4 linked regions of the Caenorhabditis elegans genome follow. The protein of the gene in region 2 interacts with the protein of the main gene of each other region in a pairwise test. Each region holds a gene or a part of one and is shown on either strand. Other genes may lie near its edges.

The links.
Region 1: the proteins of pkc-2 (region 2) and clec-76 interact in a two-hybrid assay, tested with the Caenorhabditis elegans proteins (one large-scale study listed by BioGRID).
Region 3: the proteins of pkc-2 (region 2) and oac-1 interact in a two-hybrid assay, tested with the Caenorhabditis elegans proteins (one large-scale study listed by BioGRID).
Region 4: the proteins of pkc-2 (region 2) and cbs-2 interact in a two-hybrid assay, tested with the Caenorhabditis elegans proteins (one large-scale study listed by BioGRID).

The regions. Positions count from the first base shown.
Region 1 is NC_003282.8:3,963,190-3,970,312, reverse strand, and holds clec-76 (C-type lectin domain-containing protein), read right to left. Parts: upstream 5,068-7,123; 5' UTR 4,982-5,067; coding exon 4,762-4,981; intron 4,524-4,761; coding exon 4,233-4,523; intron 4,189-4,232; coding exon 4,005-4,188; intron 2,671-4,004; coding exon 2,577-2,670; intron 2,522-2,576; coding exon 2,285-2,521; intron 2,239-2,284; coding exon 2,094-2,238; intron 1,815-2,093; coding exon 1,726-1,814; intron 1,680-1,725; coding exon 1,564-1,679; intron 1,515-1,563; coding exon 1,481-1,514; 3' UTR 1,120-1,480; downstream 1-1,119. Other genes in the region: Y46C8AM.1 (C-type lectin domain-containing protein), read right to left, coding at 6,096-6,361, 6,481-6,697.
Region 2 is NC_003284.9:9,374,005-9,382,886, reverse strand, and holds the start of pkc-2 (Protein kinase C-like 2), read right to left. Parts: upstream 6,617-8,882; coding exon 6,531-6,616; intron 6,352-6,530; coding exon 6,185-6,351; intron 4,323-6,184; exon of another isoform or gene 4,192-4,322; intron 2,836-4,191; coding exon 2,766-2,835; intron 2,548-2,765; coding exon 2,447-2,547; intron 2,306-2,446; coding exon 2,223-2,305; intron 2,151-2,222; coding exon 1,910-2,150; intron 1,756-1,909; coding exon 1,596-1,755; intron 1,550-1,595; coding exon 1,309-1,549; intron 1,264-1,308; coding exon 943-1,263; intron 664-942; coding exon 460-663; intron 412-459; coding exon 201-411; intron 154-200; coding exon 14-153; intron 1-13. UniProt on the Caenorhabditis elegans protein: PKC is activated by diacylglycerol which in turn phosphorylates a range of cellular proteins. PKC also serves as the receptor for phorbol esters, a class of tumor promoters.
Region 3 is NC_003283.11:19,549,878-19,558,235, forward strand, and holds oac-1 (Acyltransferase), read right to left. Parts: upstream 6,093-8,358; 5' UTR 5,971-6,092; coding exon 5,867-5,970; intron 5,465-5,866; coding exon 5,200-5,464; intron 4,667-5,199; coding exon 4,205-4,666; intron 4,153-4,204; coding exon 4,032-4,152; intron 3,516-4,031; coding exon 3,208-3,515; intron 3,160-3,207; coding exon 3,039-3,159; intron 2,863-3,038; coding exon 2,646-2,862; intron 1,581-2,645; coding exon 1,391-1,580; intron 1,338-1,390; coding exon 1,170-1,337; 3' UTR 1,122-1,169; downstream 1-1,121.
Region 4 is NC_003280.10:2,218,824-2,225,432, forward strand, and holds cbs-2 (Putative cystathionine beta-synthase cbs-2), read right to left. Parts: upstream 4,745-6,609; 5' UTR 4,718-4,744; coding exon 4,600-4,717; intron 4,554-4,599; coding exon 4,486-4,553; intron 3,891-4,485; coding exon 3,088-3,890; intron 3,044-3,087; coding exon 2,937-3,043; intron 2,744-2,936; coding exon 2,292-2,743; intron 2,248-2,291; coding exon 1,856-2,247; intron 1,810-1,855; exon of another isoform or gene 1,690-1,809; coding exon 1,641-1,689; 3' UTR 1,573-1,640; downstream 1-1,572. Other genes in the region: Y59C2A.3 (Trichohyalin), read right to left, coding at 59-517, 1,019-1,087; F54A3.5 (MICOS complex subunit Mic10), read right to left, coding at 5,662-5,835.

The sequences.
Region 1 (7,123 bases), on a different chromosome or scaffold from region 2:
TTCTGTCATTTAAAGCAAAAAAAAAATTTCGACTTTACTCCACCTTTATTCAATAAGTAAATATCTCAACAATTTGAATTTTCCCCAAAAATATATATTTTGATGAAATTCTAGTCTTATGATCAAAAAACCTTATATTTCAGACTAATGTTAGCTATTGTTACTCACATGCCACGCAGTTGTTTGTCTCAAAATTCGGAAGATATGCCAAGTAGGAAGGACCTACTGGATTCTGGTGATGACACCAATTCCGAGCATCCTCTTACGTCATCCGTTGAGCCACATACGTAAAGCATTGTCCTGCGATTCCTCGGTCACCGTCTAGACAAGCGGCGTTGGCTAACTCAAAAATTATCGAGAAGAGAAGTAGTTTGGGAAGCATCTGGAAATTCAAATGCGTGCAAAAAGTTTACCTACATTATATATACATCGGTGACGTACACATATGTCGTTCTTTTTTCACGAGATAAGGTATAACTTTGGAAATAATGAATTCTAAGCAAATCACGATAAGAAAAAGCTAAGATCAATATAAAAATTTGATCAAAACTGCAAATGATATGAACACACAAAAGTTCACAAGAACGTGACGTTGAATCAAGCTGTGATAAGCAGTTGGAAATTATTACTCATTACGTACTCTCGATCAAAAGTTAAAACGATGTTTGGTACTGTGTGTCTACTTTGAAATGCATTTCACAATGTTGCACATCACGTGGGTCAGGTTGTCCCATCTCTCTACTGCACACAAAGATGGCAAAAATTAAAAAAATGCAAACATATTTTTCCCGCCATAGTTGTCAAAAACACTTGGTTCGTCTGACTAGAAGCGATTTAACCATCTTATATATGCGAAGTATTTAAAAGGAATAAAATTAGTATAGCAAAAATTTTCTGTGAACTATTGTGTTTTTTGAAATCAATCTACGGTAAAAGTTTTCAAAAATTTTTTTGCCATATGTGAAACGTCAAAAATGAGGAGGGGGTCCTATAGAACTTTCCCACACATGTATGTACGTCAGCGATACATGTGTTATGTATACACACCTATAGGTAAACTTTTTGCACTTAAATGTATTTCTTCTTTGCGTATTTGAATTTTCAGACATACAAACTACTTTTTTAGATTGCCCTTGAATCTCATTGTCCTTACTATCAGAACAAGCGGAACGAGATATCCGGACTAGGGATCTCAGGATAGATATTTTGGGAAACATATGAAAAAGTGAATAATGTGAAGCAAATGCGACGAGTGTTCAGTGATTTCAGTGACTCGCCCCAAAAAAGTTTTAATAGCTTATCAGGAAATTCGGAAACCCAAGCACAACAATTTCAACAAAATCTTAAATGAATGTATACATAAATCTAGGAAATATCCAACATTTTCTCGAAAGCCGAAGTAAGTTGAGTTTTGGAAATTTGAATTCGACAAGAAAACACAGTAGTTTTATTGGAGGTAAGTGGTAGAAGTTAATAGTTATCAATCAGCGTACGGCAACCAATGATCAGTAGAGCTGAAAATATAATTCTGTTTGATCGAACACGATTTGCAAAATGACTTACGTTCCGTAAAATCTGATTTGCATAGTTTCACTAGTGAAATAAACAAAGTCCAATGTCACATTGTATATTGCCGCATCAAGTATTTCCGAATTTGCGCCATTATTATTAGTTTCAAACTGCAATTTTTACTACAAAACATTTTGCTGGATGTTGAAATCTTACAGATAACCCGTGCACACTCGCTGTGCTCGAGTATCTAGAATATGGACTATACCAGTGTAGGAGTACAGATTGAGTAGTGTTGACCGGAGCTGAAAAAGTATGTACATGTACTAAATGAAGTGATACATATGTAGTAAGAACGTTTCAAGAGTAAATCTGTATTTTCAGAACAGGAAGTTATTTTTTCGCCAGGAAAAAACATATATTGAGATGTTCTGCACGGTTTAAAATCTGTGTAAATTATACTTTTTTAGCGAATCATCGCTTCTAATTGAATTTCGAACTGAAATAAGTTGCAACAATTTTTCAGATGCTTGAGTACACTTTGCCGCACCCAAGTTTTTGAGCATTCTGAATCTATCACGTACTATGGTTTTGAAGCATCATTGACAAATAATAAGTACCATCGGCTGGTACGGACATTGAAGCGAGTGTTTGAGATCCTTGTCCTGATACTTTGGGATTGTCAGCATATATTGCGTATCTATAGCGTATAGGCATTGATTCGATCATCTGAAAATATGACTGTTTTAAAACAAAAGTTGTATGTAAGTATGACATTTGAGAAAGAGGAATCGCGTCCAATAGAGTAGATTCCATTGGTTAGAGAACACAGATCATAAAGCCCCTGAGACACTGTACCGCCAGAAGGAGCATGAGACGCAAGAAAATTGACCATTCCTTGACTTTTTCGAACTTTAAGCACAATGTTCGATACATCTGCTGTATTGGGGTATCGTTTCGACAAAATTATAAGATTTGAACCACACGTGGCTTGGGTGTTGTCGTAAAATTTCTAAATCTTTCAACATTATATATTTATTGTTTTACCTGTTCAACCGAATACTTACGTTAATAACTTCAAACACATTACTTCCTGTTGTTGCTTCTTCGAATCCTAATGTATAATCCGGTAGATGAGAGGAAACGTAAGAAGAGAATAGACTGAAGTATTGTTTCAAGGTGGTGCCAGTGGAGAAATTGTGAACAGCCAGAAAAATGGCCAAATATCATTTTCAGAAATGTTTTGAAAACTTTTTGTTTCTTGTCAAACAGAAACAATTTATGCCACTCATGATTTTGGAAGTCAACCAAAAATAGTTTTTTCCTGCATTTTTTATACTGTAAACTTGTTTTAATTATTAGTATTAAAACATTGTAGGGGTCGGAACTTGCGACATTGCTTAGGATGTCCTCAAATGCTAATATACATTCCCTGCGATTTAGTTTTAACTGAATCAAAAAGAAATCATTCGAAATTCCAGCTATCGATTTGAATGTCAAGGTTATGCCGCTGAGACTTATAAAAATATACCGTCTGCACCTGCATATACCGAGGTCTGTAACTTATACCGACACTATTTCTCTGCTGAATAAATATCTTAACCGAATATCCGGGTTTGGAAACACTTTTGCTCGATTTCTGCAGATCGCATGACCTGGTTCAGCACGTCAAAGTCCCAAAAAGGTCACACAACATCTTAGATGTGATATTCAGTAATTGCAAGCTGATTTTTCTCTAGAAATACTAAATGAACTGCGACGTGAGTACAAAGAGTAACATGATTTCACAAATATAGACCTGTTTGCTTGCGCATTTAAAATATACGCGAGCTAGAGTTATTCTCACCTACAAACTCAATAGATACGATGTTTCGGATATTCCTGACGAATATGAAAAACGCGTTTGAAGTTTCAGTGCCTAAAAAATTAACACAAAAAAGTTCACTCCCACCATACTTAACCTTACTCAAAGAATTTGCTGCTAAATTATACACCACAGCTGCGAAAACAAACAACATTGAAGCATTTCTTTTTAATGTATGCACATCTAGAAAATATAGGAAAAAGCTTCAAAAAACCAAAGAAACCTTAAATTGAAAGCGCTCAAATCCGGAGGGAACTCTGAGTTCACTCATGATGTAAAAAATCTCATCAAGTCTAAACAGATACATCTATCTAGTTTAACAACTGCATCGGGGGCATTAGTCAGCACAGACCAAGAAAAAGCGGAACTTCTTGCAGATAATTTCAAAAATCAGTAAAACAATGATTTTTGTATTCTTTTCTAATGACGCGATTCAAAAATCGTATTGAAATAAATAAATAAATAATTTTAAAATATTCGGCAATTTGCCAAAACTTTGACTGGAAATTATGAAAAATTTAAAACTTTTTTGAATGTTATATTTGGCTATTTTGGATCACTGGAGTGTATTTAAACAAAATTCCCACTGTCGTTACTTAAAACTTTGAAACGTTTTAGGAACAAAACTTACCTGTAGTCACTAAAGTATTGGATATCTTCTGGCTGACGTAAATCAAATCTCGAAACGGCGTAAGTAACAGATTGGCTTGAAAGTGAAGAATAATACAATGCATCCGTCACAACACTTGGAGCCAAGTCATTTGAATAAGCGAACAAAATAATTTGGTGATCACCGGGTTTGCAATTAAGTTTTTCTAAAATGATACGTCTAGGAGTGAAGAATGTTTCAGTTAATTACCTATTGTAGTGGTTGTCATTCGTTTTGTGGTACCAGTGATACTTGTCATTGTCGTTGAGTTGACAATAGGCGCATAACTGCAGACAAAGAAATTCAAATCACCATCGCCCAGTGTATCCCATTTAGTATTGGAGATGCTCTCAGTGAAGTAGTTTTTTCCGACGTTTGTGCCAAAATTGGTATAAGCGACTGGAAGCCCGTTATCCCAAGACAAGGATCCAGACGAGGCGTTTCTACTGAGACCAATCCAAAAGACTTCAGCATCCGCGCCAAATGCAGAACGAGCGTAAACTAAAATAAATTAACTTGATCGGCGCCAGCCGACTGATAAAATTTCGTCGGCTTTCGGCCGATAATTCTTTGTAACATTGTAAATGAAATTTGAGAGTTTTGAAGAAATTTGCTCTTTTTTCAAAAATTTCAAAAGTATCGGCTGGCTGTACCAGCCGACAGCCAAAATCTGCAATATCCCGGTTGAAAAAAAAATGGTAATAGTCGACCCTTTGTATTAATCGAAATGTATACTCACATGCTAAGTAAGTTGATGTGTCCTGGCTAGGGACATAAGCCAAATAAGAAGGACCGACAGGATTCTTCAAATGACACCAAGTACGAGCATCTGTGAATGTCAACTGTTGGGTTACAAACTTGAAGCAAAATCCTTTGATTTCTTGATCATTACTGTCAGCACAAATAGCACTGGCAAACTCAAGAAATGCTGTTAAAAGTAGAAATTTGGGAAGAAGCATCTGGAAACTCGAAAAAAAGTAGTACGACTCGAAACACGATGTATGCAGCAAGTGGGGGTCTCGAGTACGCAAGATGTACGCAAAAAGTGGGCTTATCAATTTTTAATACTTGCATATGCATATGACTTGTGATTTTTCATAAACAAAAAGGTATTAAAACATTTTATCAGAAACACATAGGAGTTTCTACAAAAAAAAATGTGTAGTAATAATTTGAGGCAGTGGCGGTACGGAGTGGAAGTCGCAACATTATTTGGAAACTCCTTATTGACAATCGATCTAAGAGTATCATTGATTGCATACTAATGAATAATAAAATGAACTCAAAATTTAAAATTTCATGTGTGTTTTCAAGTTTCAATTTCAATTTCAACTTTGCTTGAAACAAATTAATTTATAGCTGACGTCTTGTGAATTATTCCATTTTGGCTTTTTTCTATCTTTTATAAAATTAAATAAATTAAATTTTCAAGGAAATTTCACTGACATATGAGAAAACTACAAACAAATGTGCATTTTCAATTGCTCCATCCTTGTCAGGAAGTTGAAACCCAACATACAATGAACTGTAGTTTCAAAAAAATTTCTTTGAAATATTCAAAATTGTCTCGAAAGCCAAAGTAAGTAGATTTTTAAAAATTTTCGTGCAGACAATTCACAGGAACACAACCGTTTTATTGAAGGTAAATGGTAGACAAGCAAAAGAGGATATAGAACAGCAAAGCACGCGCGCGAACGCACACGAGATTGCTGTAGCCTAGAAGTTTGGAGGCATGGGAATTGAACTCGTAGTGCACGGATGGTTCCATCAAACGACTGTAGAATGAAGTGACAAAGTGGCTGATCCATAGCGTGATTGACTTCTGGCCGGTGTTCCTGTAAATAAAATCATTAATCCCACGATGACGGAAACGGAAGACAAGAAAATGCGAAGATACAGCGCAAAAACCGCAGTTTTTTTTATTTTGACAATAGTTTCAAGTTCTAAGATTTTGGAAAAATGACAAGCAAAAACCAAGGCGTTGAAAATAATCGAACAATTTTTATATTCATTTTTCAGCAATTGAAAAGAAATGGCGGCCTATGAGCTCCGTGATCTAGTGCCACTAGTTGTTCAATGTGTCGTTATTCCAGATTTTGTCGTTGAATTGCCAGGTGGATCATAACTGCACAAAAAGTAGTTCTTATCGAAATCCCCCAGTGTATACCATTTTGTATTGGAGATGCTCTCAGTGAAAAACGTGTTTCCTATGTTATCACCGAAGTTCGTGTATAGAACTGGAGATCCGTTATCCCATCTATAGTAGCCAGAAGAACCATCTCTAGTGAGCCCGATCCAAAAGTTTTCAGCATCCGCACCAAAAGCTGAACGGGCGTAGACTGAAAAATACATTTTATACAAAGCTTTAACGAGAAAAATGTTTCAATTGGAGGCAGGTGTCAGGCTCTGCCTCCCAGGAAACCCTAATGGAATTGCTACAAATTTTCTTGATACTCACATGCCAAAAAATTGCTCGTTTCCTGATTAGGGACGTATGCCAAATATGATGAAGCAGCTCGGTTGTAGTTAAAACACCAATCACGAGCATCATTAAATGTGACTTGCTGAGCTACAAATTTGAAGCATAGTCCTTTGATTTCCTGGTCGTTACTGTCTGGGCAAACGGCACTAGATAACACAGAAAGTGTTGCCAAGAAAAAAAGTTTGACATACATCGAAAAATATGATTTTGTGGAGAAAATAATGCTGGAAGTCGGACTGTAAAAAATTTCCTTTTATGGGCATTTGTTATCGGTGACATTGTGATAAGAAGTGGAAAAGGTGATGTGCAAATAGAAGATGAAAAATTTTTAATACCAACTTTATTCAACTTTTGCAACTGTTGCGCTTGGAAATTTGTTAAAGTTGCTAAAGTTGGCAGAGAAGTTGCCGAGGAAGTCCGGATTTTGTTTAAAGGTGGGGTACCGAAATTTGAGACTTTGCGTTTTTAGACCCAAAATGGTCCAAAACTACCGAATTTCGTAATGAGACGTTCTGAAAATTTTTCAAAAAAAAGTTATGGCCTCTCAAAACTTTAAAGGATGATAATCAAATAAAAATCGAGTTCCAATCACTGCGACACCGATAAGTTGCCAAAATTT
Region 2 (8,882 bases):
TCATTTTCATTACCTTAATATCTCTACTCGCTGATTCATCGTCTCCAGTACATCCCAATCGTTTTGATGGATTTTTGATGAGCAATGCTTTGCACAAAGACACAGCTTCTTTGGATAGACTTTTCGGGTAGGACACATTATGCTCGGTGATAGCTGAGTTTTAACAATTTTATTTTAAAACCATATGGGATTCAAATTACCTGTGAAAAGTTCATCTTCGTCTTCTCCATCAAATGGTGGTTGTCCTGCAAGCATTTCAAATAGTAGGACACCATAAGCCCACCAATCCACAGATTTTCCATAAGGCTGATATAGAATAATCTCAGGAGCAATGTAGTCCGGAGTTCCACAGAATGTTTTTGTCGTGGCGTCTCCGAATATGTTTTCCTTGCACATTCCAAAATCGGTGATCTAAATATGAATCTATAGTTTGAAAAACAGTTGAGCAAATCGGAATACCTTTATATGCCCGTCTCGTTCGAGCATAACATTATCCAATTTCAAGTCTCTGTAGATGATACCTTTTGAGTGAAGGAAAAACAGACCGACGGCAATTTCAGCAGCGTAGAAAACAGCAACTGGTTCTTTGAATTTCCCAACTTGCTGGATTTGATACATCAGATCACCACCATTTACAAATTCCATCACGAAATACAAACGGTCCTGAAACAGAGATTCATCAAAATACGGATTTGATTGGGGGTTTGAAGAGTTTTCATTCAAAAATAAGTGCCTTCAGGACTTATGTATATTATATTCCATCTATCCAACAATTATTATTTTCAATGTCATACTTACTGTTACAGAATAATTTGCAATAACCTAGGGAAAAACACGTGGATGAATGTCAACAATGTATTACAAATTCGAACATCTATTAACATCTAAATACTTCCACATGTTTGATCCCTTTTTTTCAATAAATCTGTTATGCGCACTGACCATGGTCTGGAAGCACGAATGCAGAGCAACAAGGAATGATGGTTTTTCCGGAAGAGCAAGGACGCGCTTCTCAGTCATTGTGCATTCCACGTCATCGTCTTGAATAATCACATCTTTCTTGAGCACTTTGATCGCAAACAGCTCTTTTGTTGTTTTTTGTTCGCCAAGCAACACTTTTCCAAACGATCCTTTTCCAAGAACAGTGAGGAAATTAAAGTCAGAAGCCTTGATCACGTTGTGATTGGAACTGCCGAGAGGAAGTGTACTAGCTCTTGGGGCAGCCGGGTCTTTTGGCTTAGAAGAACTGTTGTCTCGTGTGATCTAAAACGATAAAAGACACCTAATTGCATTAGAACTTATACTTACAAAGTTTTCATTCATCTTCTTGCGCACTTTTTCCATATCTTCGTCGTATTCAGGTGTGATGTTGATATTGTAGAATTCTCCTTCTTCCGCACTGAGCAGTTTGTACCAACCGGACGCTGCTTCCTTCATAAGTTCTGAAATACCAAACGACAAGCTTCCCATGAAGTCATTTCGAGATGTACGATCCCAGTCCCAAACTTCAATAGAAAGCCGCCGATCCTTATCTCCTGGTAGCAGTTTACTGAAACCCAAGTTTTATTTTTAAATAAAGTGTTACAATGACTTACTAAGTAAAAGTTTCATTCCATTGAGGGTTAAGAGTAGCTCTCAATGTTTTAGTTTTCTGTTTTGACTTGCATCCCGAATCCTCCGGAATCAGTTTGCACTTCACATAAGGGTCAGACAATCCATTGGGGTCCATTGGAATCAAGTTTTTCGCCTCCAGAACTGTAAAACAAATGTTGTGTATCAAGATAATTATACACTCTAGCAGTTTTGATGAAAATATTTATTTTCCTGAGAATCATTGAACAACGTAAGTTCAATTCTTTCAATCTTTTTGTCTATTTCCATTTAATTTCCTGCGTTGCACCCCACTCACTTTTAATGGTTAACTGATCATTCTCGATGTGTGCTTCAATTCGTAGTCTACCTCTCTTCTCTGTATTGTCGGTACCACACATGTTCGGCACATTCTTGACGCATCGGTGATGCACATTTGTGTCACAAGATTGGCACTTCATGCCTTGGTGCAGAATACCGTAGAGCAAAGAGCCACAATGATCGCAAAACGTCGGCGATGAGTATGTTTGAACTTTCCATTTATGCTGCTGGCGAGGATCCTGAAATTAAAAGTTTGAGGAATGGATGTCATAAAAAAAGAAGAGAAAAAGAAGATAGAGTGCACAACTTACATCGGTATCTACTCCTTTATCTGCTCCTGGACATGCGAAATTGACAAACTCGTGACACCTCTTGTGTACCACAAGGGTACATACTGAAAACAGAGTTCTCTTTATCTATCAAACTTGTTTTATAGTCGCATTTTATGATTTATAAACATTTGTTTCGAATTGCATTGGATACAAATTAAGAAGAAAATAATTATTAATATCAAATAAAATTTCCAATAAATTACCTTGGCACTGAAATCCCTGTTTTGTTATACCCCACAAGAAATCTTTGCAATGTGAGCAGAACGTTGGCTGTTTGAAAAACCTTGCAATGAATTTGTGCGATCTGATAAGAATTAAACTTTGAATCAAAATTGTGCAACAAGAACAAGATATTGATTTTTGTTTTCATTTGAAAGACCTATGATATTCAAAGATAATGAAAGAATTTTTTTTTTCAATTTTTCAGTCAAAATAAATGTCAGCTATCAAATAACCAAGATAGGAAAACGGACAGTGCTGACTTTTACGAGGGTTTTGTTTCAAAGTTTGGTATCAACTCACTTGATTTCATGCACATTTTTCTGGCGAAGTGCACCACGACGAACAAATGCTTTTCCTTCGATCCGTTGAGCTGAAACGAAGACAAACATGAAAAAGGGAATCAAATAGGTGAGTTTTGCTCTCCGAGCCCCGCGCAATTATATCTTCCCCACCATTTTATTTCTTAGTGTAACCTCCCCTCCCTCCTTTTGTATTCGTTTTCTATAGTTGCAAACTTTGAAATGAAATGGGGTTTGGCTTCCGTGTCGTGAGGTCATTTTAAGGATTAACTTTATTTTTGCATGTTTTAAAGAACAAAATGATTACTCTTGAAAACATAAAAAACAAGAAACCTACAAATTCGACGTCGCAAGTTTTTTACAATCGTAAATGCGCGTTTCATGGGAATGGTGGGAAGCGAAATAGGGGAAAATGGGAGGGTATGAACAATTTTTATCAGGAAACACTGGGTTGTGTCACTTTTTTATTTTCGCCCTTTTTCAATAGTCATAGGACATGCGGGCAGAAGATGCTTTTGTCTTGGAGGTCCTCAGAAACTTTTTGCCATTTATTGTTTTCTTAAGAACGGAAGAATTTTAATGGAATTTCACTACTATGTTTGTTTTGTTTACAAGATTGCTGTTAATGCAATTTATATTAAAAAATTTTAGAAATCAATAAAAAATCATAATGAGAAAAGCTACATTTATTTGTTGGGCTAACTTTGCATGGATAATTTGCAATATTAATTTTTATATTGGCTTTTTATACTGTCAGATTTCAAAAACATAAACTAACAAATGTTTTATAGTACTTAATAAAAATAAACATTTTCTGATGAAAAACAAATCCCTCTTCACATTGTTTTGACCTTTTTTCAACTAGGACCTGTATCTTCAGAAACTTTTTTTAAAAAATATTGCTCACTGATTTCAAACAAAATTTCCGTCTAACAATACCAAGCCAGTTTCAAAAGTGTTTCATTGGTAATCAATTTCAAAAAAGGAAGCAAATTGGGAGGTTTTGTAGAATAGCTCACCTTGTTCGTGAAGCCTTTTCAGCAATGGCCGGATAGATAGACGATGAGAAAATTCAAATCTAGGAAAATGTATGATACCGGGTGCCTCGTGATGGGCGTAAACCTTTAGACTAGAAGGGTTTGATATAGACTTTCGAATACAAAGTTGTTGATTCCCACCTCCACCAGTGGAATTGTTTTTCACAGGGCTGATTAGAGCAGCCGCCGCTAAAGACTGTGCTTGTGGAACTTCCATGAAGTGGTACAAGATTAAAATTAATAAAATGTTTCAAATGAGCTTCTGACGTTTGGTGGCGGGGCTTGAAAAGGGTAGCAGATGATAGCTAAATGAGTTAGAGGCGGTGAGCAAACGTGAAAAAAAACGGAGGTTTTCTCTCGTTTCTCCCGTTTTTTCGGTTAAGGTCCCGAAATGAGAAGAAGCAGCGACGACTACCCTAGCAAATGAAAAGCCGAGGCTGATGGCGTCGTTCTGCACATGAAAAATAGAACAATTTGGGTTGGGACCACAGGCCCCCGCCGCCGTTTCACTCCTCATCAATGGATGCCGCATCCACCCCACCCCCATTCCAATTTCCATTTCTCCTGTGTTTTTTCTTGGTGCGTGATTGACTCCGCCCACCTATTTCCTGTAATTCTTGATCCCTAATCTGATTTTTATTCAATCTGGTTGCAATTTTGCAAAAAGACTGAGTGGCCTGATTTTGAACCCATCTTTAAAAAATTCCATACTATCAAAATCAAAAATACCCGTTTGTAAAATTATGTGAACTTAAAAGATCAGTCTCGTAAAAAAGACGCGAAGAAAAACAAATTATGTCGGTGAAAAGGCGATTGTGCGATGTTTGTTGCCGATTAAACTATGAATTATTTGGATAATTAACTTCTGAAATTTTAAAATGGGCATATGACAGAATGCGGAGGTGTTCATAAATGCACTAGATACTAGAGATTAATATAAGGTAGAATACATTAATTTATAAATTTTCAAGTTTTCCGTGTAGCTGTTCGGCGAATTTAATGTTCTTTTAACGATACCTTAATTCATACCCGCTATCAGCCAGCTTAAAAACTTCAAAAGAGGAGTACCCTAACCCCGTATTTTTAATAGTTCAACATTGCTAAATATCATAACAAAACATTCCGAAAAATTATGGTTGAAATTGCATATTAAAAAAGTTTAATCAAACGTTTATCATACTATGTTTATCATCACTTTTTTGTTTTGGCGTTTTTACAACATCCATTCTTATCTTTAACAATTCCTCAAATTAATACATAGCATTGTTCCAAATTAAGTCTACCACTATGTTGAAAAACATTAACTTTAGTCATAAGATAAATTTGTTCATGAAAATTTAAGGAAAACATATGATGTTCAAATTCTAAAGAATTTTTTCTCGAAACTTAAAATACAATCAATGTCAATTGGAAGATCAATGACAAAAGGAAACTGGTTTTTGTTTTTTTGCAATGCCAATGCGTTGGTATGTATTGTGATGTCCCAATTCTAATTTCTAATTTTATATTTAGTCGTTTTTTCCCTGAGATGTTTAATTCTATTTTGGCTCACTTGCGATTGAAAAGAGCAAACAAAAAAGTTTAAAATGAAGCAGTCACATGGAAGCTTTTTTTCAGACAACCGCCTTTTTTTCTGAATGCGTTTTCTGACGTCAATTTTAGGCAAATGGCAACAGATTTCTCAGTTAATCGACTATGGACATTTTAATTGAATGATTCATCAATGGGCATTTTTGACAGATAGGGAGTGAAGATGATAGAAAGGAACCTAGTTTTCAAAAAACTGCCACAGCTGCCCAGTTGTGCTTTTAATTAGATAGTTTTTCAAAGTGCGAGAGAAATTGCGGAAACAACTACAAAGTTATCAGAATCACGTACTAACACAGATATGCTAACCATTACTAACTACAGTGAAAAATATAATATTTTGTAGATCATATTCAAATAATGAGTCCGTTGAAAAGGGCTTTACTTTCAGACTTTGCTTCTTCTCAAACCTGAATAAAAATAATCTTGGTAAACAGAAACCTTCCAAATATTTTTAACACTACTTTTTCATATTTGATAATATAGGATGTCACCCTGCGTCTACCGGTAAAATTGTTAAACACAAGAAATATGAACTGCAAACGGTAAAAAATCATAATATGTAGAATATCAGTGATGAAGGTTTTGAACATGTTTTTAGAGTTAATTGATTTAATTCATAATTTTTAAAAAATTACTTCCCCTAACTACATTCTTCACGCCAAAATGGGCCCTATCCCATGTGTGTACTAAACACCACTCGCCTGAGAACCACATGAAACGTCAGAATACAAATTAGAGGGATACAAAGGACTTGTGTTTTTTTCTATGCTACTGAATAGTTTTGACGACTTACCGAAAGCTTCAGATAGTTTACGAAGTGCAAGATTCGACTCGAGCATAGGATCGGACGACAGATCGAGGCTCGGCCGAGCATCAGCGCTATTTCTGGGACCACCACCAATATCGGTCTCGGATCGTCGACGCTCTGCACTATCCATCGTCTCGCGCTTTTTTGCCTTCCTTCACCAGAATAAATCTTTTACAATGGTTTAATGAAAATCGCAGATGGGAGGAGGTATGATGAAGGGATGAATGGAATAACACAAACTAATGCAGGGAGGTAAGAATTGGCAAGAATTTTGAACGTCAACACAATAATTAATTTAACCAGAAACAGAAAACGTGAAAGAAATATTTACCTTAAAATATGAGATGTTAACGAAAACTTGTGAGACTTTAAGAACACCGAAGTGGATGATGACTTTTGCTTTGGTCGTAGGCTCATTTTAAAAGTTTATGAGTAAGAATATCAGTAGTTCAAATATTTAGTAAATGGAACTCTAGAAGAGAATAATATCAGATGGCCGGAGGTAAAACCACTACACGTCTTCCTTTTTCTCTCCTGGTTAGCTGTTGGAGGAGCTTCCCGGATTTGTGGCGAGTATCATATTGCCCAATTAAAAAGCGGTGCACAAGTATCAAATCCAGACATAGTCTCCGCCTCCGATATCCTCTAAGCCAAGAAGCTTATAAACATACGCACATACACACGTACGTCCGTGAGAAGAACGAAGCGACAGCAGCGATAAAGCTGAGCCGTTTTTCCTTCTTTTGAGCTTCTTTTTTATAAGCTAAATTTTTGGGTCAAGTTTACATACTTCACACCTTTCAAGTCAATCGAAGAAGCACATAGAAGGAGAAACAGAAGAAGCCTTGCCTCTAGTTTTTTTCCTGAATTGAGAACGAGGATAGGAAAAAAAACGGGACACGGATCAGGTTTCCAATAGCTTCTCGCTCATTATTTTCTTGTGTGTTTGAGCACAAGGGCAAAACTTTTCAGCTGTTGCTCTCAGGCATTTGGTTTCCTCATCCAATTTTTTTGATTCCAAGAATGTAAGATGATGACAAAAACTGTTTGTTTCTGACAAAACTATTTACAATCTTGAAAATTATGCAAATATATCAAGGTTGTAAATTTTCAAATATTTTTTTGCCGGTAGATTTAATTCGCAAAAAGAAACAAAAGCTAATATGAGCTTTCAGGAAAATAATGCTTTTCACGCTATTAATTGGACATTTTCAACTAAGTTCTTTTTTTTCGAATACTTATTTGAAACTGAATAAAAACAGCAGGTTTATGAATTTATATATTTTTATATTTAGTGTCACAAGTACTATAATTTTATTTATATTTAGTATCACAAGTACTATTAGGTCTCCAAATAAGTTCCGGGTCAAAAATCATAACTTTGTTCGCTGCGTATCGATTTTTATGAAACTTTGGGATGTATGTTACCAACCATGATCTTTCATTTGACAATAGTCACAAAAATTTTTTACCACCCCAAGTGTCCTAACTCGGAGGCAATTTTTTCAGGCATTTTTCTGATCTCGCTTCTTTTCAGCTTTGAATTGAGGTTTGTGTGCGGATTTTGCTTTGTTTAGAATACATTTTTAGAAAACAACAAAAGTTTAGAAAAAATCCGTCCAAAAAAAAAATTTTTTAATTTGATCGTCAAAAAATCTTCAAAAAACTTTTTGTCGAAAATTCTATATTTTTCCTACAAGAAAGATGTAACCAAGTGTAAATTACTTTTACACATACAAAACATTTGGGTTTAGTTTGTCACACTAAAATGATAACATAAAATATAATAAAATTTTTTGCATGTGTAAAAATAGTTTATAATTGGTTACATCATTTTTGTAGGAAAAATCTAGATTTTTCGAAGATTTTTTGACGACCAACCAAAAAAATTTTTTTGGACGGATTTTTTAAAAATGATTTTTGACCCGGAACTTATTTGGAGACCTAATATAATTTTAGAAACATATTTTTACAAAAAAATTAAAAAAAAATAATATGAGGAATAAGACGATAGATTGATTCACTATTAAACTTTTATAAGCTGGCTGGCTGATCAAGTCTTGCGTAGAAATTATTACTCTCAAGTATGATTATTATGGCAATAATAATTTTAACTCAAGAAGAAATATTTTAATTTCACAAAATACGTAACTTTTTGTAGCTTTGTTCCCAAAACTAATTTTTGAGCTCTCAATCTAGAATTAATCCACTGTTCACCACTGATAAGGAGGATATTTCAGTGCTTGTGCGCCTTGGATATTATAATAAGTGCGCAGTTATTGGCTATTTTTAGCAGAAAAGAAGAGTGTGGGGAAGTCTTTGAACTAGGGGATCATCCGGTATTTGTCGGGTGCAAAGACAAGTGAAGAAATTTGAATTTTGCTGTTTTCTTAGGGACTTGATATTTTATTACTAGTTCAAGTTTTTAAGCACACGATGAATTAGAAAATCGACTACACGTACACATTCTTATACATTATTCAGTAAGAAAAACTTAGGGAAAAGGGAATAGAGAAACTTGTGAAACCTGGGTAATATTTAAGCAAATCATGCGAGGTAAGGTACTAAGAACGAAGAACTGAAAATGCCTAATTTTTTCGGAAAATCGTTTTTTCATAGAAAAATAAATTTCAACGTGAGATTTTCCAATCAAAAGAAGAGAAGAAAATAAGAAAATAAGCCA
Region 3 (8,358 bases), on a different chromosome or scaffold from region 2:
AAGTTATTTTAAAACCTCAAAAATATAACTTTTGTTGTAAAAAAATGTAGAAATGTCTAGTTTCTGAAAAGAAAATGCAGAAAATGTGATATGGGTGAGCTATGCCCTCTCTATCCCAGAGCAATTATAATTTCTCATTGAAATTCGAAATTCGCAGCGCTTTCCCATCTAATTATAAATAATTGAAAATTTCAGACATTGCGTGAAATGAGCAAAGAAAAAGTACGAAAAACTGCAAAGAAAGTTTCAAAACTTTATAAAAAACTTTAAAATTTTGCAACATTGATTTTAGCGGCTACAAACTACAAACTATAGACTACAAACTACAAAATACAACATTCAAACTATAAAATACAAACTACAAACTACAAACTACAAACTACAAACTACAAACTACAAACTAATACTTACAAACTAACACAACTTTTATTTTCAATTGTGAATTCTCGGGTTCTCGGTTTTCTATTTTTTTCAAGATTTTCAAAGTTTTTAAACGAGGAAATAGAAAACCACAAACTACAAACCACAAACTACAAACTAAAAACTACAAACTACAAACTACAAACTACAAACTACAAACTACAAACTACAAACTACAAACTACAAACTACGAACTACAGACTACAAACTACAGACTACAAACTACAAACTCCGATCTAAAGCTTCTATTTTTGATTTTGAATTCTCTGATTCTCGATTTATTAGTTTTTTTGCTGTCCAAAGATTTATCAACGAGGAAATATGAAACATTAAACACAAACTACAAACTACAAACTACAAACTACGAAATTTGAAATGCATACTACAAAATACACACCTCTTTTCTAGCACTGACAATTCAAATTTTGAACTTTTTCTGAATATTGAGAAACTGCGCGAGAAAGTTAGAAACTACAAACTAAAAAATACAAACTACAAACTACAAACTACAAACTACATACTACAAACTACACCATACCAACAACAATCCACTTGAACATAGAATTGCAATAAGTATTCATATTATTTCCAAACTTATTGAAATTTTGAGTTGTGGGTTGTTGTTGCTGTTGTGTAATTGTAGTTTGTAGTTTGTGTTTTGTACTTTGTAGTTTATAGTTTTTAGCCTCTAAAATCAAAAGTTAAATAAACACATTTATTTTTTTAAAAATTAACAATGAAAAAATGAGTCAAACAGTCTCCAAAACTTCCTCAGCAATCTCCTTGAACACTTTATCACACTTTGCCACTGCGGGACCCGTCAAATGTATGTGATTATCCACGTATGATAGTTTTGTAGTCCTGTCGAATGTCAGGTACACGTCGCCGTCGAGAAACAGCTCACCGAGGTTGAAAACCTGGAATTAGTTGGGGAAAATTGTTGAAAATTCGCAGAAATTTGCACCCAAACCTTGCATTTTGTGCACTTTATCCTACTGAAACGTTCACGAGCCGTTCTCCAATCCTCATCCACGTCGATTTTTTTCAAGTGAAGGCTCTCCAGCTCCGCTGGCTTCTGGGTTACTGTATCGAGGTACTTGTTCATAAAATTCAAAGGGTATAGCGGGTGAGGTGCCAGGATGTAGATTTTCTTGGCGAATCTGGAATTTTTTTTAAAAGATATTGAAAATTGAGGACGTACAAAATTAAACAACTGCCCAACTTAAAATAAACTAGGCTTCTAGGTACGGTATGTCAGGTCTAGGTAGGTTAGGTCTAGGTAGGTCATATTGAAATAAGACTAGGCTTCTAGTACTCTACGTTACAGGAAAAAAAAACTCAATTTTTTAATTTTTTTTTGTCTTATGTTTTTATCAGATTTTCAAAACTTTTCTAATTTTCAGAGTTCGATGTTTGTAGTTTGTAGTTTGTAGTTTGTAGTTTGTAGTTTGCGTTCATTGTTTTTTATTTCCTCGCTGAAAAAAACTTTAATAAGCAACAAAAAAATAAATCGAGAACCCGAAAATTAAAAATTAAAAATAGAAGTTGTAGGTTGTTGTTTGCAGTGTGTAGTTTGTAGTTTGTAGTTTATAGTTTATAGTTTATAGTTTAGTTTAGTTACAAACTACAACTTTTGTTGTTGAATTTTGAATTCTCGGGTTCTTGATTAATTGTTTTTTTTTTGTTGCTTTTTTTAGTGGTTTTCCACCGAGGAAACAAAAAATTGAAAACAAACTACATACTACAAACTACAAACTGCGGACTACAAACTACAAACTACAAACTACATACTACAAACTACACACTACAAACTACAAACTACAACATTTATTGTTGAATTTTGAGTTTTCGGGTTCTCGTTTTGTTGTTTTTTTTTGTTGCTTTTTTTAGTGGTTTTCCACCGAGGAAACAAAAAATTGAAAACAAACTACATACTACAAACTACAAACTACAAACTACAAACTACAAACTACAAACTACATACTACAAACTACAAACTAACAAAAAATTGTGGACTACCTCAAAAAGAACGAAACTTTTTTTTTGAATTCAAACTGCGGTGCGGTTGAGGAGTAAATAAAAAACTATGACCACAAACTATAAACTACAAACTACGAAAAATTGTGGATTATCCTAACAAGATCCTTTTTGAGTCACTGTCAGCTCCAACCTCAAAGTTCAATTTTTTTCAAATGATCTACTAACAACCGCAAATTTTCGCTGACCTCTCATAAAACCGCAAATACTTATTCATCATCGCCACAACCTCATCCGTCTCAATATCCCATATAGGTTGTTTCAACGACGGAGAATATCTGGCTATAACAAACAGAACATCCGGTTTCCGAAGTTCCACCTGCTCCTTGGCAATTTTCAGGGATAGTTGCTCCCAATATCCAGCCGGTGTTGAGAAATTCCCGTTGTGGAAGAACCCGTTACAGCCTGAAAAAAATTGAAAAGAGGCTTGCACGTGGTTACGTAGATCTACAAAAAATGCGGGAGAAGAGACGCAGAGTTCGCAACTTATTTCGCATGGTTAAGCACGTGTTGACGTCACATTTTTTGGATAAAAAAATCCCGCAATTTTTGTAGATCAAACCGTGATGGGTCCCGCCTACCTCCAATAAAAAGCGATGTCCAATCCGAATAGTTTGAGCGAAATTGTGCTCGAATATGTCCGTCCAAATTTTCCACGTAGCTATTTCCAACGAGCATTACTGATAGAGTACCATTAGCTTTCTGTTAACAAGAAATCTAGTTTGTAGTTTTTATAGTTTGTAGTCCTACCGGATATCTGCAATAGTCAAATTTAAACCCATTCTTCCTCAGCTCGGGAAGCTCAGTCTCCAGACAAGTTTCCTGTCTGGGCTCATACGACGTAATATAGGGAAGAAGCTTCATATTCTCGTCGACAATTTTTCGAACTCTTGGCTGATATTTAGGTTTCCAGAATTCGTGGGTTCTAGTGCTCCATTGAGCTGCTCCGTTTAGGCAAATGAGCAGTAGGATCAGAAGAGCCGTCGGTTTTGTGCCAAGCTTCAGGTACTGTTTCTCGTAAAGGTGATGAGCCACTACAGAAATCAGAAGTGTCAGTGCTGAAAAATTTGAAAATTGGGGAAAGTGTAGTTTGTAGTTTGTAGTTTGTAGTTTTAAGCTTTTTCGCACAGTTTCTCAATATTCAGCAAAAGTTCAAAATGAGAATTGATAGTGCTAAAAAAGAGGTGTGTATTTTGTAGTATGCATTTCATATTTTGTAGTATGTAGTTTGTAGTTTGTAGTTTGTAGTTTGTAGTTTGTTTTTTATAGTTTTTTCACTTTCTCACACAGTTTTTGGATAATCTGCAAAAGTTCAAAATGAGAATGGTCAGTGCTAAGAAAAAGGTGTGTATTATGCATTTCATGTTTGGTAATTTGTAGTTTGTAGTTTGTAATTTGTAGTTTGTAGTTTGTAGTTTGTAGTATGTAGTTTGTAGTTTGAAGTTTTGTCAAATGTTTTGTTTTCAACATTGAAACTTGAAGTTACTGTATTCTATTTTTCCAGATTCTAGATTTCGATTTTAGCAATTGTAGTTTGTAGTTTCCAATTTGTTGTTTGTAGTTTGTAGCCTTACCAATACACACTGCATGACTCTGAATAGTTGATTCCTTGAAAATTGCAATAACCGGCCAGTGAACCAAATACATGACATACGAAATATCTCCCAAATAGCACAAAATTGAGCTTTTCAGGGTCTGAAAATTACCAATTTTCTGGAAAAAATTCAAAATTGGCTTGACATCTTACCCCGCAAGTCTTGTTCTCCAAGAAAATCACCGCAGAAGCTGAAAATGTTACAAGTGGGCGGAGCCAAACAGCATCTGCCTCCGCTGGGAAAATACACAGAAATAGCACGGCAACCAGGCAATATGCAACATCATTTTGGGGAATTTTCCACGTTTCTGGTTTAGAATCTTTCACAGGTTCCGTAGGTGCACATTTTTTCAGAAAAAGTGCCACAAATCCGGCGGAAAATTGCCATAACCTTAGCAGCATGTAATTGAAGGCAAAATTTGAATTGCTGAGTAAAAATCCCAACATTCCGAAAATCGAGATCCCGGAGACTAGTGCCAGCTTGCCACGTGGACTATTAGGCAGTCCAATTTGTAAGCCTATAAAGATTACAGGGACAAGCAGGTAGAATTGCATCTCAACGCCCAGGGACCAAGTATGGATGAAAGTGTTGATGGAGGTGCCGTCGGCGAGGTACTGAAAATGAAAAATTATGCTAAGTCTATGCATTTTTGAATTTAGAACATTAAAACAAAAATTTTTGGACCTCGCGGGGGTCGAACCCGTGACCTTCTGGGCGCAAAGAAAATCATGGAAAATCCCACTGCGCCATTCGGGACAAAATTTTTAAATTGCCAGAAATTAAGCTTTTCAAGGTTTTTACTGCATTTTTAACGTCATTTCCTATTAGAAAGTTGAAAACAAAAAAACTGGCACCAGCGGGGGTCGAACCCGTGGTCTTCCGGGTGCAAGGAAAATCCCACTGCGCCAAACGGCCCAAAATTTTTAAAATGTCGGAAATTAAGCTTTTCGAGGTTTTTAGTTCATTTTTAACGTCATTTCCTTTGAGAAAGTTGAAAACAAAAAAAACTGGCACCAGCGGGGGTCGAACCCGTGACCTTGTGAGTGCAAAGAAAATAAAGGAAAATCCCACTGCGCCATTCGTGCAAAAATTTCAAAAACGGACAAAAACGGCAAATTTTTTTTTTTCCATTTTTAATAAGAATTACCTGCTGAAAATAGTCATTCAAATCTTGGATCAGCAACTGATTAGTGACTAAAAATGTTGCAGCTAACGAATATCGCCGATTGACATCCCACCAAAACTCGCGGAGCCAAAAATGGGCGGAGACTAGGGTCACGACAATCGATAAATAGTAAAGTGGCAGGATTCGACGAAATCTGCGATAGTAGAATCCGAAAATTTGAGAAATTTTGGTAATTTTCACGTGGGTAAGGTTTCGAGCCATCAGGAAGCCGGAGATCACAAAGAATCTGAAAAAAAAATTTTGGTGCAGCCGACACTTTACAGGGGTTTTTACTGCGCTAAAGTCTCTTGAAACCTGACTGATCACGCAGCCGACACCTCACAGGTCCCTGTAGCAGCCGACACATCACTGGTCCTCCAAGCAGCCGACACCCGGCTGGCCAGTGGAGCAGCCGACCTCTCACAGGTTTCTCAAACAGTCGACGCCGAACTAGTCTCTAATGCTGCCGACCCTTCCCAGGCCCCTCAAGCAGCCGACACCTAACTAGTCCCTAAGGCAGCCGACACCTCCCTGGCCCCTCAAGCAGCCGACGCCGAACTAGTCTCCAAAGCAGCCGACACCTCACTGTTTCTTTGAGCAACTGGCGCCTCACAGTTCTCTTAAGCACCCGACACCTCACTGGACTTACATGTCAACTCCAAGGTAACCATTTGGAAAAACTGAAGGATATAAATGGTAAGTAAACACAAAAAGTATAGCCAATCCACGTAAGCATTGAATATCCGCACGCATTTTGATTCAGGAAGCTTTGAATTTTCTCCGAAAAAATTTTTGTGATGGGCGGTAAGATATTGGTCGATCATCATCATATTGTGTTTTCTGCTTTGAAACAGAAACATCTCCTAGAGAATTTTAGCGGGGAAAATTATCTCCCGATCTTTTTCTCGCAGGTTTCGGTGAAGCTAATGGACAGCTGAAGAGGTGGAAAAGTGGATAGAGTGTACTTTGGTGGATTAGAAAAATTGAGGGGAAAATGTGTAAAAAATTGTCTAAAAAAAGAGCATAGGGCTGCGAAATAAATGTCGAAAAAATTCTTTAATAAAAAAATTTTTTTTTTGAAATCAACAAAAAATCTAACTTTTCCAATAACTCGAAAAACATTTTTTTCCAATTTTTTTGAAAACCAACTCTCTAAAACATACTTTTTCGTCCAAAATGTCACAATATTTCCCAAATATTTAATTCGATCGGCAAATTTATCTGATCATATGCTGTTTAACCAGGTTTTTCCCAACACGTGAAAATCGTTTGAAAAACCGGAACGCTCCCCACGCGCGCGGCGGATAAACTAGACACTTCCTACATAGAGTGACGTTTCCAATTTTTGTAGGAATACAGAATCCAGGGGGAAAATTTCTCGGAAATATGTGTTTATTGTGTCAAAACAACAGAAAATATGATAACCACCCCGAAAATTTTGAAAATCTAGAATTTTAAAAGTTTGGGCCAAGTGGCGCAGTGGGATTTTGGCTTTGGCTCGGCTCAGAAGGTCACAGGTTCGAACCCCCGTGGTGGTCAAAATTGTTTGCTTTTATGCTTTTTCTGAAAAATAACTTTTAAAATACGAAAATTAGATCGAAAGCTGAAAATTGTTATTTTTAAAATTTTGAGCCAAATGGCGCAGTGGTATTTTGGCTTGACTCAGAAGGTCACAGGTTCGAACCCCAGTGGTGGTCAGAATTTTTTATTTCAACCATTTAGTTTAGAGTTTAGTCTTAGAAGAGAGACACTAACTCAAAATACCTATTTCAGGCGTTTTTCGAAAATTTTCAGATTTTTTTGAAAATTTTTTTTCATCATTTTTGTTGAACAATCCAAAACGTCGCAAATTCGATGTTTTTTGTTTTTGTTTTTTGAAACTACTATTTCTGTGCAATTCTGGTTTAAAACCCTAATTTTTAGACGAGTTTTAAATTTTGGTCGAATGGCGCAGTGGAATTTTGGCTCGGCACAGAAGGTCGCAGGTTTGAACCCCCGCCCTGGTCAATAATTTTTTCTTCGTTTTAATTGTTAAAAAAATACTTCTAACTTTTTTCATAACCAAAAACCTAATTTCCTATAGGTTTTCTACCCAAAAACCTTCAAAATCTTCCAAAACACAACAAAAAACTAATTTCGAATTCTGCACCTCTTCAAACGTCAATTGTTGTTTCAAATCGAGCCATTCAACCGCACAATTTCCTGCTTTGAAATTCCACAACAGCAGCAGCTTCTCCTCTTCTAGAAAATATAAGAAAATTGGGAGAAAAAATCTAAAATTCAGCATTGTTTGTACTCTGCAATCTGATACCTAATTATTTTTGGTTTTCTGAGTAAACATCGACGAGTTTCTGCTACTTATTTTCTAGTTTGGAGTAAGATACAGGTAGGATTTTGTAAAATGAATTTTGAAAAAATTGAAAAAAAACATTTTTGAATTATTTTCCAAAATTGTTTTTCGAAAATGTTTTGCAGAACCTCAACAAATCCTAGGAATTTATTAAAAATTGGCTTGAAATTAGTTTGCAGTGTTACAAAAATTGTTGGCCCTAGCCGGGATCGAACCCCTGACCTTCTGCGTCATAGCCGAACCTCTACCCAACTGAGCCACTGCGTCGCAACTTTTATTTTGAGAAAATTAGGTGTACGGTAGTGGTTTTTAGGACAAAATTTCACGGGGAATCCGAAAATCGTATCAATTTTCAATTTTGAATTGATTTTATTTTAGAAAAGTAGTTTCTATGGAATTTGTTTGTTTAAAAAACTCTCCAAAAGTGCATAAATCTAAAATAAGAGACTCAATAACCTCTCAAAATACCATAAAGTACTTGCCAAATGGAAACAAAAATCATTGACCACAGTGGGGATTGAACCCCAGACCTCCGAAACCAAAGCCAAACCTCTACCCAACTGAGCCATCGCGACCCATTTTTCTAAATTGCGAAAAAATTTGAGCCCGGAGGCTCAAATTTTCCGAATTTTTTTTAGATAAATGAACAATTTTAATAGTTTGTTACTCGGTTTCTCGTGACTTTTCTATTGTTTTTCTCCCCAATTTTCCGGTGTAAAAAAAACAATGAAACGCATATGTTTCGGGTGGGGTATAAAAAATAAAACTCTAGTAATAAAATAACGCATGTC
Region 4 (6,609 bases), on a different chromosome or scaffold from region 2:
CTTCTCACACCTCAACCTTCCGCGCATTCTGTATAGCTTCAGCTTTCGCCAGTCTTACCAAAGATTCAATATCAATGAGAGGCCGCTCCTCTGTCTTCCGCTGCTTTCGTGACTCATATTTCCGTCGATTGTAGGCAAACTTCTCCTCTTCCGACATTTGATGATACCTGGCTCTCGCCGCCTCCGCCTTCTTCGCATTTGCCTCCTTCATCTGCTCGGAATCACATTTACTGTGGCGACGACGCTTTCTTTGCTCATTGAGAGCAGTTCGCTGCTCTTCCGACATTCTCTGCCACTTAGCTCTATCCGCAGCCGCTCGTCTCTCCTTTGCTGTCATAGTACTTTTATCATCCTGACCAGTCAGGTTGATCGGCAGCTCTGACGGGAAGACGTTACTGAACAGGTTTTCAGGATTCGCATCGGCTTCTCCTTCGCCGGGAGCATACACGTAGTCGAATTCTACCAAGTGGTCTTGTGTAACAACTTCGTAATTGGTGTCAAAGAGGATGGATGGCTTCTGAAATTGTGTTTGGTGTCAAAGGGTCCCATCTCGGTTTGATCTACGTTGATCTACAAAAAATGCGGGAACTGATTTCGCATGATTGAGAACGTGGTGCTGACGTCACATTTTTTGAGCAAAAGTTCCCGCATTTTTTGTAGATCAAACCGTAATGGGACAGCGTGACACCAAGTGTGTTCGTACTAGCTTTTTCAGAACTTTTTCCTCAAAAAAACCCTATTTTTTCGGTTTTCCAAAGATTTTCGCAATTTCTTCAAAATTTTATCAGTGAATCTTGGGGTTTAATGAATTTTTAGTGAAATTTTAGGCCGAAATTCGATAAAAATCAGCAAAAAAACCTCTGTGGAATCATTTTTTTTAACGGTTTTTTTTCCTATAACAAGCTCAGAATATTTCCTATTTTGACGTTTTCTTTTAAATTTTCTCCTAAAAATTATGATTTTGAGCATTTTTCACAGGAAAATCTCGATATTAATTCATTTCTCACAAAAAACTCACTTGTTCCGCTTGTGGAACCATCATACCCTCTTCCGCCATCATTTTGTCATTAAACACGAGAGAAGTCATAATTTCGAGCTCTAAAATATAAAAAAATTGATTTAAAACACCAAATTCTGCTCTAGAATACTAAAAAATTCGAGGAAACAAGAGGAAAATCAATAGAAAATGCGAGAGCGGAGAGAGCGAGAGGCGGCGAGAGTAAGTGTGCAGGGTGTCTCATTGTCCGGGCCCCCTTCGCGTGCCGGGGTGGCAGGGGGATTTGAGTGTGGTGCGGTGGAGCGCGATTGAGCTGGACGGCGAATATGGCTTCTGTTATTTGAATTATGGCTTCTGTTGTCTATTTTGCAGGGAATATGACGAAAAATCCATATTTTCACTAATTTTACAGGGCGAATTGCTGGAAAAATGCATTTTCGGTCATTTTTAATGCAAAAACCACTAAAATTCATCGATTTTAATGAAAAATCGGTTATATCTCAAAAAACTCGGGAAAAAAGCCCAATTATCTGGAAAAATATCAATGGAGCGCGATTGCACTCGGTTAAAAAGAGAAAAATCTTCATTCATGTCAAAAATTCAGTTCATAATTCCAATTTCAAGTATTTTTTTAGGTCACAATTTACAAGAAGCCGCGGGCTTTCATCCAGTCGTCGTCGAGGAATTTGGTGCTGAAAAATTATGTTTAAGCTTGGCTTTCGGGGCTACAGAGTAGTATTTTGACCTCTAAAAACGACAAAAACTATAGGTTTCCCGCAATTTTCAGAGATCAAACAGCAAATAGACCTCAAAGCAAGCTGGGCCTAATTTTGTAGGCCCCAGGCCCAGACAACTCACAGATAATTCCGAATCCCGTCTGGAAGCAGCACAACGACATTCGCATCCTCCGGCAGATCCAGCTTCCGGCACTGCTCCAACGCGTAATGCACCGCGCATCCCGACGATCCTCCACACAAGATCCCCTCGGTTCTGATGATCTCTCGAGCCATCAGGAATGACTCCTTATCATCAGATTTTAGCCAGGAATCTACTGATTTTTCGTCCAGGGTCCCCGGGATGAAGTCGTAGCCGATCCCTTCAACCTCGTAGAAATCTGGAGCGGGTCCAGTCGTCGGGCCGGTCAGGATTGATCCATTCGGGTCAACGCCGACGACGATCGCGTTGGGACGGCGCTCGTGGATCTTCCGAGAGATTCCGGTGATGGTACCACCGGTTCCTGCGCCAAGGACCTGTAAGAGTAACAGTTGAAGCTTGATCCGAAGTTCCTACTCACCACTAGATCAATCTTCCGATCCCCCATATCCCACAAAATCTCCTCCGCAGTCTCCTCATAGTGTGCCAGTGGATTCCCCGGATTACAGTACTGATCGAGAATCACCGCACCCGGAATCTCATGCTTCAAGCGAAGAGCCACTCCGATGTGAGAGCTCGGGCTGTTGAAGGCCGCCTCGTTGGGAGTCCGGACAATCGTGGATCCTAGCACCGACAGCGTCGTCGACTTCTCCTTGGACATCTTCTCAGGCATCGTGATCAGGCATTTGTAGCCACGGACCGCCGCGACCAGGGATAGGCCGATCCCGGTGTTGCCAGAGGTGGGCTCGATGAGGGTGGTGGCTCCGGGGGTGAGTGCTCCGGGTTTGCCGGTTTTCTCAGCAATTTCGACCATTTTCTTAGCGATTCGATCTTTGGTGGAGCCGCCCGCGTTGAGGAACTCGCATTTGACATCTGAAATTGTCCAAGATGAGGATTTTTGGCAGACCAGGCCAGGCCAGACTAGACTAGACTAGACTAGACTAGACTAGACTAGACTAGACTAGACTAGACTAGACTAGACTAGGCTAGGCTAGACTAGACTAGACTAGACTAGCCTAGACTAGACTAGACTAGACTAGACCGGACAGAGGAATTCCCAACTCACAAACATTGCACCTGACTCCATGAGCCTTCGGAACGTGCTGAAGCTTCACCAGTGGCGTCTTGCCGATCGCATCGAGGACTGAGTCGAGAACCAGTGGTCTTTCCGGCCTGAAAATCAAATTTTCTGCTAAATCTCAGATCCTATAACCTACCTGAACTTGCTGGAACTCTTCCACTCCCCGACCATCTTCGTCGGATCGTAGTCCAGCACCTTCGGGTCGAAGATCTCACGAGGCTTGATAGGCTTCTTGCCGTTCACCTTCATCCAATCAGCATCTAGATAGTCCCTGATTCCATCCATCAGAACCACCACGACCACTGACCCGGCTGGAAGATCCTTGGCGAGTTTGATGGCTTCCAGCACTGCCGCTCCGGAAGATGGTCCAGCCATGATCCCTTCCGTCTCGATGAGGTGTCTGGTGAAGGTGTAGGATTCAGGAGCATCTCGGATTTCCACCTTGTACTTCTGCAGAAGAACTTCTGTTTCTGGAGCTGGAGCTGAAGCTGAAGCTGAAGCTGAAGATCTCACTCCGACCACTGTTGTCTTCTGATCCTTTAAGAAGTAAGCAGCGATCCCTGCTGCCGCTGAAGCTCCACCAGCATCCAGGGGTACCACAACTGCACTGGTCTTCCCAGCCTTCTCAATCTCCGGTGCAGTTCCTTCAAGATTCGCCAGAAACGCGGCTTTCTCGCAGATCCCATCAAGATTGTAGACACCTCGACGCTTGGCCAGTAGATCAGCCTGGAGCCGAGCTTCTCGGAAGTTTGAAACCGGGAGCTCCACGATCTTGGTTCCCAAAGTGCTCAGAATCGTCCTGACCTGGTCGAATGCTCCGGGAGGTGCGTGGGCGGTTAGTCTGACCCCCTTGACGGCTGCCACGGTGGCATAGGAGACTGCAGATGATCCGCCGGCGGTCACGTAGACCTCGTCGCCTCGTTGGATTCCGTTGGACATCTGAAAAAGAAAAAATCAATTAAAAAAATTTGTTTTTGAGATTTTAGATTACTTTCTGGGATTTTTTATTATCAAATTCGAATTCCTCGCCATTTTCTGAGTCTAAAACTCAATTTTCAGCTCAAAACTCGAAAATCGCGTGAAATTCGGTGTTTGCGTACTTTTGGCGCTACCGTACCCCGAGAAATTTCAAAATTGAGCTAGAAACCTCTAGTTTTCGATTTTCCGACTGAAATTTTAAGATAAATTCGAATTTAGCAGCGAAAATTGGTAAAAATTATTTTTAGTCCATTGTGACCAAAAATTTTAACTGACACCTATAATTTTGTGACTATTCCCGGAAATGTGGAAAATTTTAACTAAAAAATTCGAATTTCCCGCAAAATTTGCTAAATTTTAAACCCCATATCGACCAGATTCGGTTAAAAACCAGAAATTCGGCAATTTTTCCGCGCGTTGCGGCCGCGTCGCGGTCGAAGCTGGAAATTCTTCAAAATGAAGCGATTTTCAGCTAGTTTCTGCAGTCCCAGACTGAAATTTTGCAAGGAATTCGAATTTTGAATTGACATTTCCCAATTGTTCTCCGTTTTCTCACCTCAAATGCTCGGTGAGCCGCACGATCTTCCAGCGACCCGGAGATGTTGAGATATTCGAGTTTGACATCTGAAAATTGGAAATTTTCAGATTTTTCTGAAACATAGAAACTCACAAATATCACTTTTCAGCTGAAACTCGGCCTTCAGCTTCTTCAACGGCACCAGTTGAGTTGCTCGGTGGCTCCCGGCGTCCAGAATTGTCTTGAATGCTTTAATGGTAGGCAGGCACATCCTCCAGTCGGGCAAAAAGTTGAAACTGATTATTGATTGATTTCCAAACTGATCAAATTCACGAGATAAGGATGTGGAAAACAATAACACGGGAGGTCATACGGAAATTTTCTTCTTTTTTGAAAGATCATTTACACGTCATCAATTTAAAATTAAATTAAATTTTCATTGATTTCTTTTATTTAAATTACACGTGATATGGATATTTTCACAATTTTCAGCCGAATTTTTATAATTTTCATGGATTTCAGGCGTATTTTAAAGATTTGCAGGGGTTTAGAAATATAGGGGTACTGTAGAAGTACTGGTAGTCGGTGTTTGCGTACTTTTGGCGCTACCGTAATCCGGGAAAATTCAAAATTGAACTAGAAACCTCTAGTTTTCGGGTTTTGGCCTGAAATTTTGTGGGGAACTCGAATTTGAGCTCGAAAATTGGAAATAATCATATTTTAACAGGGTTTTGCAAAGAAATCGGTTTTTAGCAGTTTTAAACAGAATTTTCTTAAATTTTTGATGTAAAAATGAAAAATCTGTCTTTTCCATCCATTTCCCGATTTTTTTTCTTATAGAAAACTGCAATTTTCAAATTTTCGGTTAACCCGTCAAAATTCAAAATTTTTGTTCCGTTTTCTGAAAATTTGCTCATTTTTTGAGAGCTCCGAATAATTTCTGTGCATTTTTAATGCGAAATTCGAATTCCTCGCTATTTTCTTAGTCAAATCCTAAATTTTCAGCTCAAAATTTTGCGGGGATTTCGAATTTGAATCTGAAAATCTGAAAATGTTCCGTTTTCCATGTGAAAATCCGAAAAAATCGATATTTTTTCATAAGTTTATTCACACATTTTCCTATTTTTCGACACAAGAGAGAACAAAAAAAAGCGGGGTGGCGGGCGGAAATTCAAAAAAATCTCAAAAAAATCGAAAATTTATCTCTTCTTTTCTCTATTGCTTGTGTTGTTCGGTGATAATATTGTATGCCGGTTTTCCTTGCGAATCCTGTCCAGCTGGAACACGTTTTCCGTGCAAAACGTACGGCGAAGCGAAATCGTGACGGCAATTCGACCATCCGGTGCCCAAACCGACGCCTGATCCAAACCAAATTGGCCACGAGCGGCTCTGCAAAAAAATGAGCTTTTTTTTTTCGGGGGAAAATCGAGAAAATTCGGCTGAAAATTAACATTTTTCGAAGAAATTTTTTTTTTTTGAAAAATCAATTTTTATAGATTTTCTACGTTTTTTTTTAGAAAAAAAAAGGAAATTTGACGGAAAAATGTGGAAATCGCGAAAAATCACCGGAAAATTGTGAAAAATCGACTGAAATTCGATATTTTTATCGATTTTTCAACAATTTTCCATTGAAAAATCGATAAATCATTGATTTTTTGCTATTTTTCAATGAAAAATCGATAATTTATTGATTTTTCGTTTAAAATAGCGAAAAATCAATGATTTATCAATTTTTTTGTTGAAAAATCAATAAAGTATCGATTTTTTCAAAAAGTATCACAAAAAGGACATTTTAATTGCGATTTTTTGAAAATTGCCACTGAAAAATCAATAATAAAACTATTTTTATCGGAAAAAGAGTGAAAAATCAATAAATTATCGATTTTTCATTGAAAACTAGCAAAAAATCGATAAATTATCGATTTTTCAATGGAAAATTGTTGAAAAATCGATAAAAATATCGAATTTCAGTCGATTTTGCGCGAATTTTAAAAATTGTCAATTGAAAAATCGAATGTCCTTTTTGTGATACTTTTTGAAAAATCGATACTTTATTGATTTTTCAACAAAAAAATTGATAAATCATTGATTTTTCGCTATTTTAAACGAAAAATCAATAAATTATCGATTTTTCATTGAAAAATAGCAAAAAATCAATGATTT